Arabidopsis thaliana: one gene and its partner. The protein of the gene in region 1 interacts with the protein of each later gene in a pairwise test. Each region holds a gene or a part of one and is shown on either strand. Other genes may lie near its edges.

Region 1 (3,923 bases):
GACAAGGCCACCAACCATATCCACCACAAGCACATCCGAGTATGCAGTGACATTAGCCATCGTTAACAGAAGAGATAACGCATCTACTCGTAAGAATCTACAACACACAAAAAAAAAAGATATACAGAACCATCAATACATAATTCAATCTCAACAGAGAAAAAAGGATTCAGGATCTTCAGAATACACAAGTAAAGAAAACAAACAAAGTGTACTTACCCAATTCTGGCTGGGTATTTCTTGAAATAAGCTTCACATATACTGTTAAACATAAAGAGATCCATCCATAAGAGAAACGGAAGAAGTCAGAAAAAAAAAAGACAGAAAAAAACCGAACAAATAAATACCTTCGAGCAAAAGGCCGTCGAAGAAGCAGCTTTGGTGCATATTTCTTCTGCTTTTTAAGCTTATATTTTTCCTACAAAGAGGTAACAAGAAAAATCAACTATATGTCTCCCAAACTTTCAAAAGTAGAAGCAGAGAGATTCATTAACAATATAAATACATTACCTGAGACAACTGAAACTTCTTATCAAAAGTTTTGCTGTTTGCAATTAGAGCTTCAATAATTTCATCCCCTTTTGCACCCTCTCTACTCATAAAAGAGAAAAACGTTACCAAATCTTCCAATGTACGCATTCAATATAATAAACACAGACGATATAAAGAATTCTTCTAACCTCCGCATAGCTTCAATTTCTTCACCAGTAAGATTCTGAGCTTCATTATTGTCGACGATTTCTCGATTATCTCTCGAATCGTCCATAACATTATTACTGTTACTTTCTGTGTAAGCAAACATCAATTAGACCAAATTCAATCCATCTATAACCAATTTACAAAAACTCAGTTTCTTTTGTATTCAGTATAGAGGATAATGTGAATTTGGTATTCAATAATAACAAACCTTGTTTAATGGGAAGAATGCGAGAGAGGAAAGAACCATCTTCTCCGGTTTCGACTTGGAACAGAGATCCAAACGGAGCTCCGATCAATGGCTTTAAAGAATAATTCTTATTCCCAATTTTTAATATACTGCAAGAAGAGGGAGAGAAAAGAATCAAAAAAAAAATTAAAAACAATAGAATTGAGGATGAGAATCAATCTGGATAAATTAAGATATTGAGGAAGAAGACGCACGCGCCACTAGATAAACGAGCGAAGACGAGACGGTCACCATCGTTGATGTCGAGCAGAACGCTGCAACCTTCGCAAGCAAATCTGGGATTTGGATCTTGAGGCTTTTTATCCTCCGACATGACTGTCTGATCCTTATTGAGTTCCATCGAAACAAGAAGAGACTGCAGTTATGTTTGGTTAGTTTTCAGTTTCTGATTACAAATAAAGTGAATGGCGGATTAGTAAGTAAAACCCTAACTACACGACTAAAGGTTTTGTCGGTTAAATAAAGAGCGGTTTAAATGTTAATAATTAAGGCCAAGGTTAGAGCCCATTTAGGTGAAACATTATTGGGCTTTAAGAGTGCTATTGCCCCAAATAAATGTAAAAAATCCACGTGGAATTTCAATCTTGTTGTCCTAGATATGTGTGCCACGTGGTTGGGACGCGCGAAATATCCTCAACTTCCGAAAGCAGAGTGGGAGAGGATGATCCAATGTGGTGTACACAGTACACATAAAAAGAGTCAACATGATCAACGGCTTAGAATGAAAGATTGAAGAGATGAGTGCGTTGACCCAACGACGTGTTTTGTCTGTTTATCGGGAAACGAAGATGACCAAACAAGCCCTATCTCCGATTACACACACAATCAAAAGAAGATCAAGCCAAAAACAGAGGCATTGCGAATTTTAATTGATCACTCTCTCTCTCTATCTCTGTTCACACATCTCTCCCAAAGGTATTTCGAATCGAAATTCTTTTGATTTCTTTCTATGATTTGTTTACATTTTTTCGTGGTGTTCTTGATTTTTTTCTTTGATCAAAACTAGTAGAAATTTTCCAATTTCGTCCTGCCTTGTGATTAGTAGTAGATATTTTGGAATTTGATTAGTAGGTAGAAGAAGATGGGGACGACGTTAGATGTATCAAGAGCAGAGCTAGCACTTGTGGTAATGTATTTGAACAAAGCAGAGGCAAGAGATAAGTTATGCAGAGCTATACAGTATGGTTCCAAGTTCTTGAGTGGTGGACAACCTGGTACTGCTCAAAATGTTGACAAATCTACTAGCTTAGCAAGAAAAGTCTTCCGTCTTTTCAAGGTTAATCCTTTTGATTTTGATTAGAGTGTGTTTTTACCTCTTTGTTTAATTAACTAAATATTATCATTGTTGCAGTTTGTGAATGACTTGCATGGTCTTATCAGTCCTGTGCCTAAAGGAACTCCTCTTCCTCTTGTTTTACTTGGAAAGGTAGGTGCTTTAGAGATCAAAGCTCAGAGTTCGTTTCGGTTTTATATCTTTGTTCTGTATCAATCTTTGTTGTTATTTTCAGTCGAAGAACGCACTTTTATCTACATTCTTGTTCCTGGATCAAATTGTCTGGCTTGGGAGATCAGGAATATATAAGGTGAGAGAGAGAGAGATCATCAAGTTTATGTTCCACTGGTGTATTCTAGTTTTGTGTGTTTGGCTAATGTCTTATATGTGTTATCTCAACACAGAACAAAGAACGAGCTGAGTTACTTGGACGTATATCTCTCTTCTGCTGGATGGGATCTTCTGTCTGCACAACTTTAGTCGAGGTCCGCCTCTTCTTTCACTTTTCCGATCGATTCCTCATGTCATCTTGGCCTTTTTCGCCAGCTTATGTATCGGTTTTCACTGTTATCAGGTTGGTGAGATGGGAAGGCTTTCTTCATCAATGAAGAAGATCGAAAAGGGACTCAAGAATGGAAACAAGTATCAGGTAAAGTTTTCTTCTTTGTTAAGAAACTTCTAATTCTACAAAATCTTATTATAAGAGACTCAATTCAAATTGTATAAAAATGTAGGATGAGGATTATCGTGCTAAGCTAAAAAAATCAAACGAGAGGTCACTTGCTTTGATCAAATCAGCTATGGACATTGTTGTAGCAGCTGGTCTTCTTCAGTTAGCTCCAACGAAGATCACTCCTCGTGTCACCGGAGCTTTTGGATTCATCACCTCCATCATTTCTTGTTACCAGGTAACACTTGTTTCATCCACAAGACCTCACTTTCCAATTTCGTAACTTTCTTCTTCTGAATTCTGATATTTACATGATTCTCATTGTTCTCCACAAACACAGTTGCTTCCGACACGCCCCAAGATCAAAACACCCTGAAGTCAATCGAGGAAGCTGGTGTTAAGGAGAAAGTCATTTCAGAAAGTTTCTGTTCTTCTTATTATTAAGGAAATTCACTGCTGTTATAAAACATCGTATAAAATACTTATTTGCAGGAATTACGGTTATTATAAATTTATGCCTCAGATTCTTGATACACAAGTTTCAATACTCAATAGTATTGCATTATTATGAGATGTTGTTTCTGCTACGCAATAACTAGAGGCAAAATCCAACTACATATATGTTTTGATCTGATTATTATAATAGACTTTGGGCTTCATTCCGCCTAAAGCTACAACTTGGAGTCTGAAGAGCATCCATGCATCGTGGAACGCTCATTTTACACTGAATGCTATTTTTTATTAAATATGAAAATCCTCGATATTTTTCTATAAAAAAATATCTTGAAAGTTGTTGATAGGCCCATGCATGGATACGAAGATTTTGGGAATTTAATTCCGAAATGTAAGATTTGGTTTGATTTTTTTGTTACATTTGTTCAAATTAGTTTTAGATTAAACTCTAAATTTAAATCATAAGAAATCATCAATTTTACCTGGATAATCTTAACAACTTATCATTAAGATCTGTTATAATTATTAATTTGTAAACTTGAGTTAAGTTCGATAAAATCACTTCGGTTCCATTCGTTTCA
Region 2 (3,923 bases), on another chromosome or scaffold:
GCTGCTGAAAACTCTGAGTAATAATTATGTTAAAAAGAGATTTTTGTTTTTGCAGAATATTGCGAAGGATGAGTTTGAAACCAATTTTGTCTCAGCCGTGGTTGCTCCTGGAGAAATTGGGGTAAAGTTTGACGACATTGGTGCTCTTGAACATGTGAAAAAGACACTAAATGAGTTAGTTATTCTTCCCATGAGAAGGCCAGAGCTTTTCACCCGTGGAAATCTCTTGCGGGTATTACATTCTGTTATATACATGTCATTATGTTCTTGACTATGGACTTGGAATTTTCTCGTCTGGGTTTTCTTGAATGCGTGTGTCTTTGTTTTTTCCAGCCATGTAAAGGCATATTGCTTTTTGGTCCTCCGGGTACGGGTAAAACGCTGCTTGCCAAGGCGCTTGCAACAGAAGCTGGGGCAAACTTCATTAGCATAACTGGCTCAACGCTTACCTCAAAGGTACATGGAACCTTAAAACTATGTTGTTTGCACTGTCACGTTGATATTCCACTTTGTAAACATCTTCATATAAATAAGGAGAATATCTAATGACATAAGAAAAACTTTTCCACCCCGGTCATCGACTTATTATTGTCAATGCCGATTGTAACTTAGAGTAAATCTCTTTCCAACTTTACCTCTGATTGGTTCTGATTTAAGTCAATTTCGTCCATTGTTTGGCACAGTGGTTTGGAGATGCAGAGAAGCTCACGAAGGCTTTGTTCTCTTTTGCAAGCAAACTAGCCCCCGTCATTATATTTGTTGATGAGGTGAGAAATTGTTTAGCTTTATATCACTTTTCAATTTCGGTTATTGCTTTTTATGAGGAATACTTTTGTGATGCGTAAAATGTGTTACTCAAGGACTAACTGTAATTTATTTTGTTGTCGTATAGGTTGACAGTTTGTTGGGTGCTCGTGGTGGTGCTTTTGAGCACGAGGCAACACGAAGAATGAGAAATGAGTTTATGGCAGCTTGGGATGGACTCAGATCAAAAGATAGCCAAAGGATTCTCATTCTCGGTGCCACCAACCGACCTTTTGATCTTGATGACGCTGTCATTCGTAGGCTACCAAGACGGTAATTTAAGCTTTCAAGTAATTTCTCCTTTGGAATATTTGTATCTTTTCGATAATTGTATTGAGGCTTGTGTTTATAGGATATATGTGGATTTACCAGATGCGGAAAACCGGTTGAAGATATTGAAGATATTTCTGACACCAGAAAATCTTGAAACTGGTTTCGAGTTTGATAAACTTGCAAAGGAAACCGAAGGATATTCAGGAAGCGATCTAAAGGTTTGGTCATTCGGGGTTTCATTTACAAGTTCGAGTATGATTCAACACAGTAGTTCTGATTCCTTTTCTTTTCTTACATTGCAGAATCTATGCATAGCAGCTGCATACAGACCTGTTCAAGAATTGTTACAAGAAGAAAACAAGGTAAGGACATGCATAAACCCACACAGTTGATTTCTGTTGTTACGAAAAATAATTTTTGTACTCACTCCATGCTTTTGAAACGTCGAATTATCAGGACTCGGTAACAAATGCGTCCCCTGATCTACGACCACTGAGTTTGGACGACTTCATTCAATCCAAAGCTAAGGTATTGATCAATCTCTTAAAAAACATCATCATCATCTCTATTCATGTTTTTTCCCCTGGTGTTTGCATTATCGAAATTGCGTCATTGTAATGTAATTTGCAGGTAAGTCCGTCAGTGGCATACGACGCGACGACAATGAACGAATTGAGAAAATGGAACGAGCAATACGGTGAAGGAGGGACCCGAACTAAGTCTCCTTTCGGCTTCTAAGCCACAGTTTTGTTACATTCATCAATGTCTCTCTTTAACAATAGAACTCGTTGATTTGTTCCATGTCGTAACAATAAAAGTCACTATTTCAATTTTAATCATAGTTACACAAGAGAGACCTTTAAGAAATGAAAAAATAGTAAATTAACAAGTCGTCATTTGCTCAAAATATTTCTGGTTTCTCATCCAATAATCACAATTCTGTACTACATAGTTATCACAAATCCTTTGAGATAATATTTCTGCATATACTATTGGTCAAGACAAAGCAAATCCTTTGTATTTGCCGACCAAAAAAAAAAAATCCTTAAACTCTCTCCTTACGCGCTCTTTTATTTAAATTTAGCGGAGAACTATTACAACGTTGACTCAACGCGCCATGGATGCGCGTGAGATTAAAACACAAAAAATATTTCTTTTGACAAAAATTGAAATTAGCCGTATCTGCTAATTCCATGGCGGAAAAAGGAACGGCGACGAAAACTAAAGAGTAGAAGAAATAAGAGACACTCTCTTACTCTTACTCTTCCTCTTGCTCATTTTCGTAAGAGACGATGGCGGAAGTATCAGCAAAATCGGTGACGGTTGAGGAAATGGCGGAAGAGGACGACGCTGCGATTGAGGAGCGGTGGAGTCTTTACGAAGCTTACAACGAGTTACACGCTTTGGCGCAGGAATTGGAGACGCCGTTCGAAGCACCGGCGGTTCTTGTGGTGGGACAGCAGACCGACGGTAAAAGTGCGCTTGTGGAAGCTCTTATGGGGTTTCAATTTAACCATGTCGGCGGCGGAACCAAGACTCGTCGGCCGATTACTCTCCATATGAAGTACGATCCTCAGTGTCAATTCCCGCTTTGTCATCTCGGATCTGATGATGATCCTTCCGTTTCTCTTCCCAAATCTCTCTCACAAATTCAGGTGTTTTGTTATTATTATTACTTGTGCTTCTTCAATTGCTTGTTTCTGCGTATAAATTCTGGGAAGATTTTGACGAATGTTGAGAAACACAAGTACTTAGGTTTATTGTAGAGAAGCGAAATGCTCATGTTAACGAAATTTGTTATATGATTTGGAGTTAGGCATATATTGAGGCTGAGAACATGAGGCTGGAGCAAGAGCCATGTAGCCCATTCTCTGCAAAGGAGATTATTGTGAAAGTCCAGTATAAGTATTGTCCAAACCTTACCATCATTGATACACCTGGACTTATTGCTCCTGCACCAGGACTGAAAAACCGAGCTCTTCAGGTTGTTTTTTCTTATGGCTTCCAGCCAATTCCGTGGCTGATTTCATGTTTTGGTTTTGCTTTATTTGAGAGTGGGTTACTTGTTCTTTTTCTTAGGTTCAAGCACGGGCTGTGGAAGCTCTAGTCCGAGCAAAGATGCAACACAAAGAGTTCATCATTTTATGCCTCGAAGATAGCAGTGACTGGAGCATTGCAACCACTCGAAGGATAGTGATGCAAGTACGTTGCTTGACGTAACTCCATTGCGTCTAACCTTGTCTTTATTTTTGTTAAAGTTTGTTTCTCGTTCATGTAGGTTGATCCTGAGCTTTCTAGGACAATTGTTGTTTCTACAAAGCTTGACACTAAAATCCCTCAATTCTCATGTTCATCTGACGTGGAAGTCTTTCTCTCACCTCCTGCAAGCGCACTTGACAGCTCCTTATTGGGCGATTCTCCTTTTTTCACGTCTGTGCCTTCTGGAAGAGTTGGCTATGGACAGGATTCAGTGTATAAGTCTAATGACGAGTTCAAACAGGTCTCTGCTCTGCTGTCTGATTCCTTAAACAAGTTAAACAGGTCTTTTTCTAAACTATGTGTGGTTTTTATTACAGGCTGTGTCACTTAGAGAAATGGAAGACATTGCATCTTTAGAGAAGAAGTTGGGCCGTTTACTGACAAAACAGGAAAAGAGTAGGATTGGCATCAGTAAACTGAGGTTGTTTCTGGAAGAACTACTCTGGAAAAGGTATAACTGTTGTTTTAACTCTGATTTTTCCAGCCTCTGTTTCTATTGTAGTTTACTTTTCGCTGTAGTCTTGATGCCCTTCTCTTTCCAGGTACAAAGAGAGTGTTCCATTGATCATTCCACTGTTAGGAAAGGA

What was found.
Region 2: the proteins of PEX11D (region 1) and ARC5 interact in a protein complementation assay, tested with the Arabidopsis thaliana proteins (one study listed by BioGRID).

Annotation. Positions count from the first base shown.
Region 1 is NC_003071.7:18,837,838-18,841,760, forward strand, and holds PEX11D (peroxin 11D), read left to right. Parts: upstream 1-1,597; 5' UTR 1,598-1,861; exon of another isoform or gene 1,862-2,014; 5' UTR 2,015-2,027; coding exon 2,028-2,222; intron 2,223-2,297; coding exon 2,298-2,372; intron 2,373-2,454; coding exon 2,455-2,529; intron 2,530-2,623; coding exon 2,624-2,704; intron 2,705-2,793; coding exon 2,794-2,868; intron 2,869-2,953; coding exon 2,954-3,127; intron 3,128-3,229; coding exon 3,230-3,265; 3' UTR 3,266-3,566; downstream 3,567-3,923. Other genes in the region: AT2G45730 (eukaryotic initiation factor 3 gamma subunit family protein), read right to left, coding at 1-97, 220-261, 348-418, 511-592, 681-786, 908-1,035, 1,141-1,286. UniProt on the Arabidopsis thaliana protein: Involved in peroxisomal proliferation. Promotes peroxisomal duplication, aggregation or elongation without fission.
Region 2 is NC_003074.8:6,853,836-6,857,758, reverse strand, and holds the start of ARC5 (P-loop containing nucleoside triphosphate hydrolases superfamily protein), read left to right. Parts: upstream 1-2,168; 5' UTR 2,169-2,369; coding exon 2,370-2,732; intron 2,733-2,893; coding exon 2,894-3,061; intron 3,062-3,156; coding exon 3,157-3,279; intron 3,280-3,355; coding exon 3,356-3,577; intron 3,578-3,653; coding exon 3,654-3,787; intron 3,788-3,878; coding exon 3,879-3,923. Other genes in the region: AT3G19740 (P-loop containing nucleoside triphosphate hydrolases superfamily protein), read left to right, coding at 56-232, 334-456, 684-767, 893-1,077, 1,157-1,295, 1,380-1,439, 1,534-1,605, 1,708-1,815. UniProt on the Arabidopsis thaliana protein: Mechanochemical GTPase component of both plastid and peroxisome division machinery. Required for the last steps of plastid division specifically in mesophyll-cell, when the narrow isthmus breaks, facilitating the separation of the daughter plastids.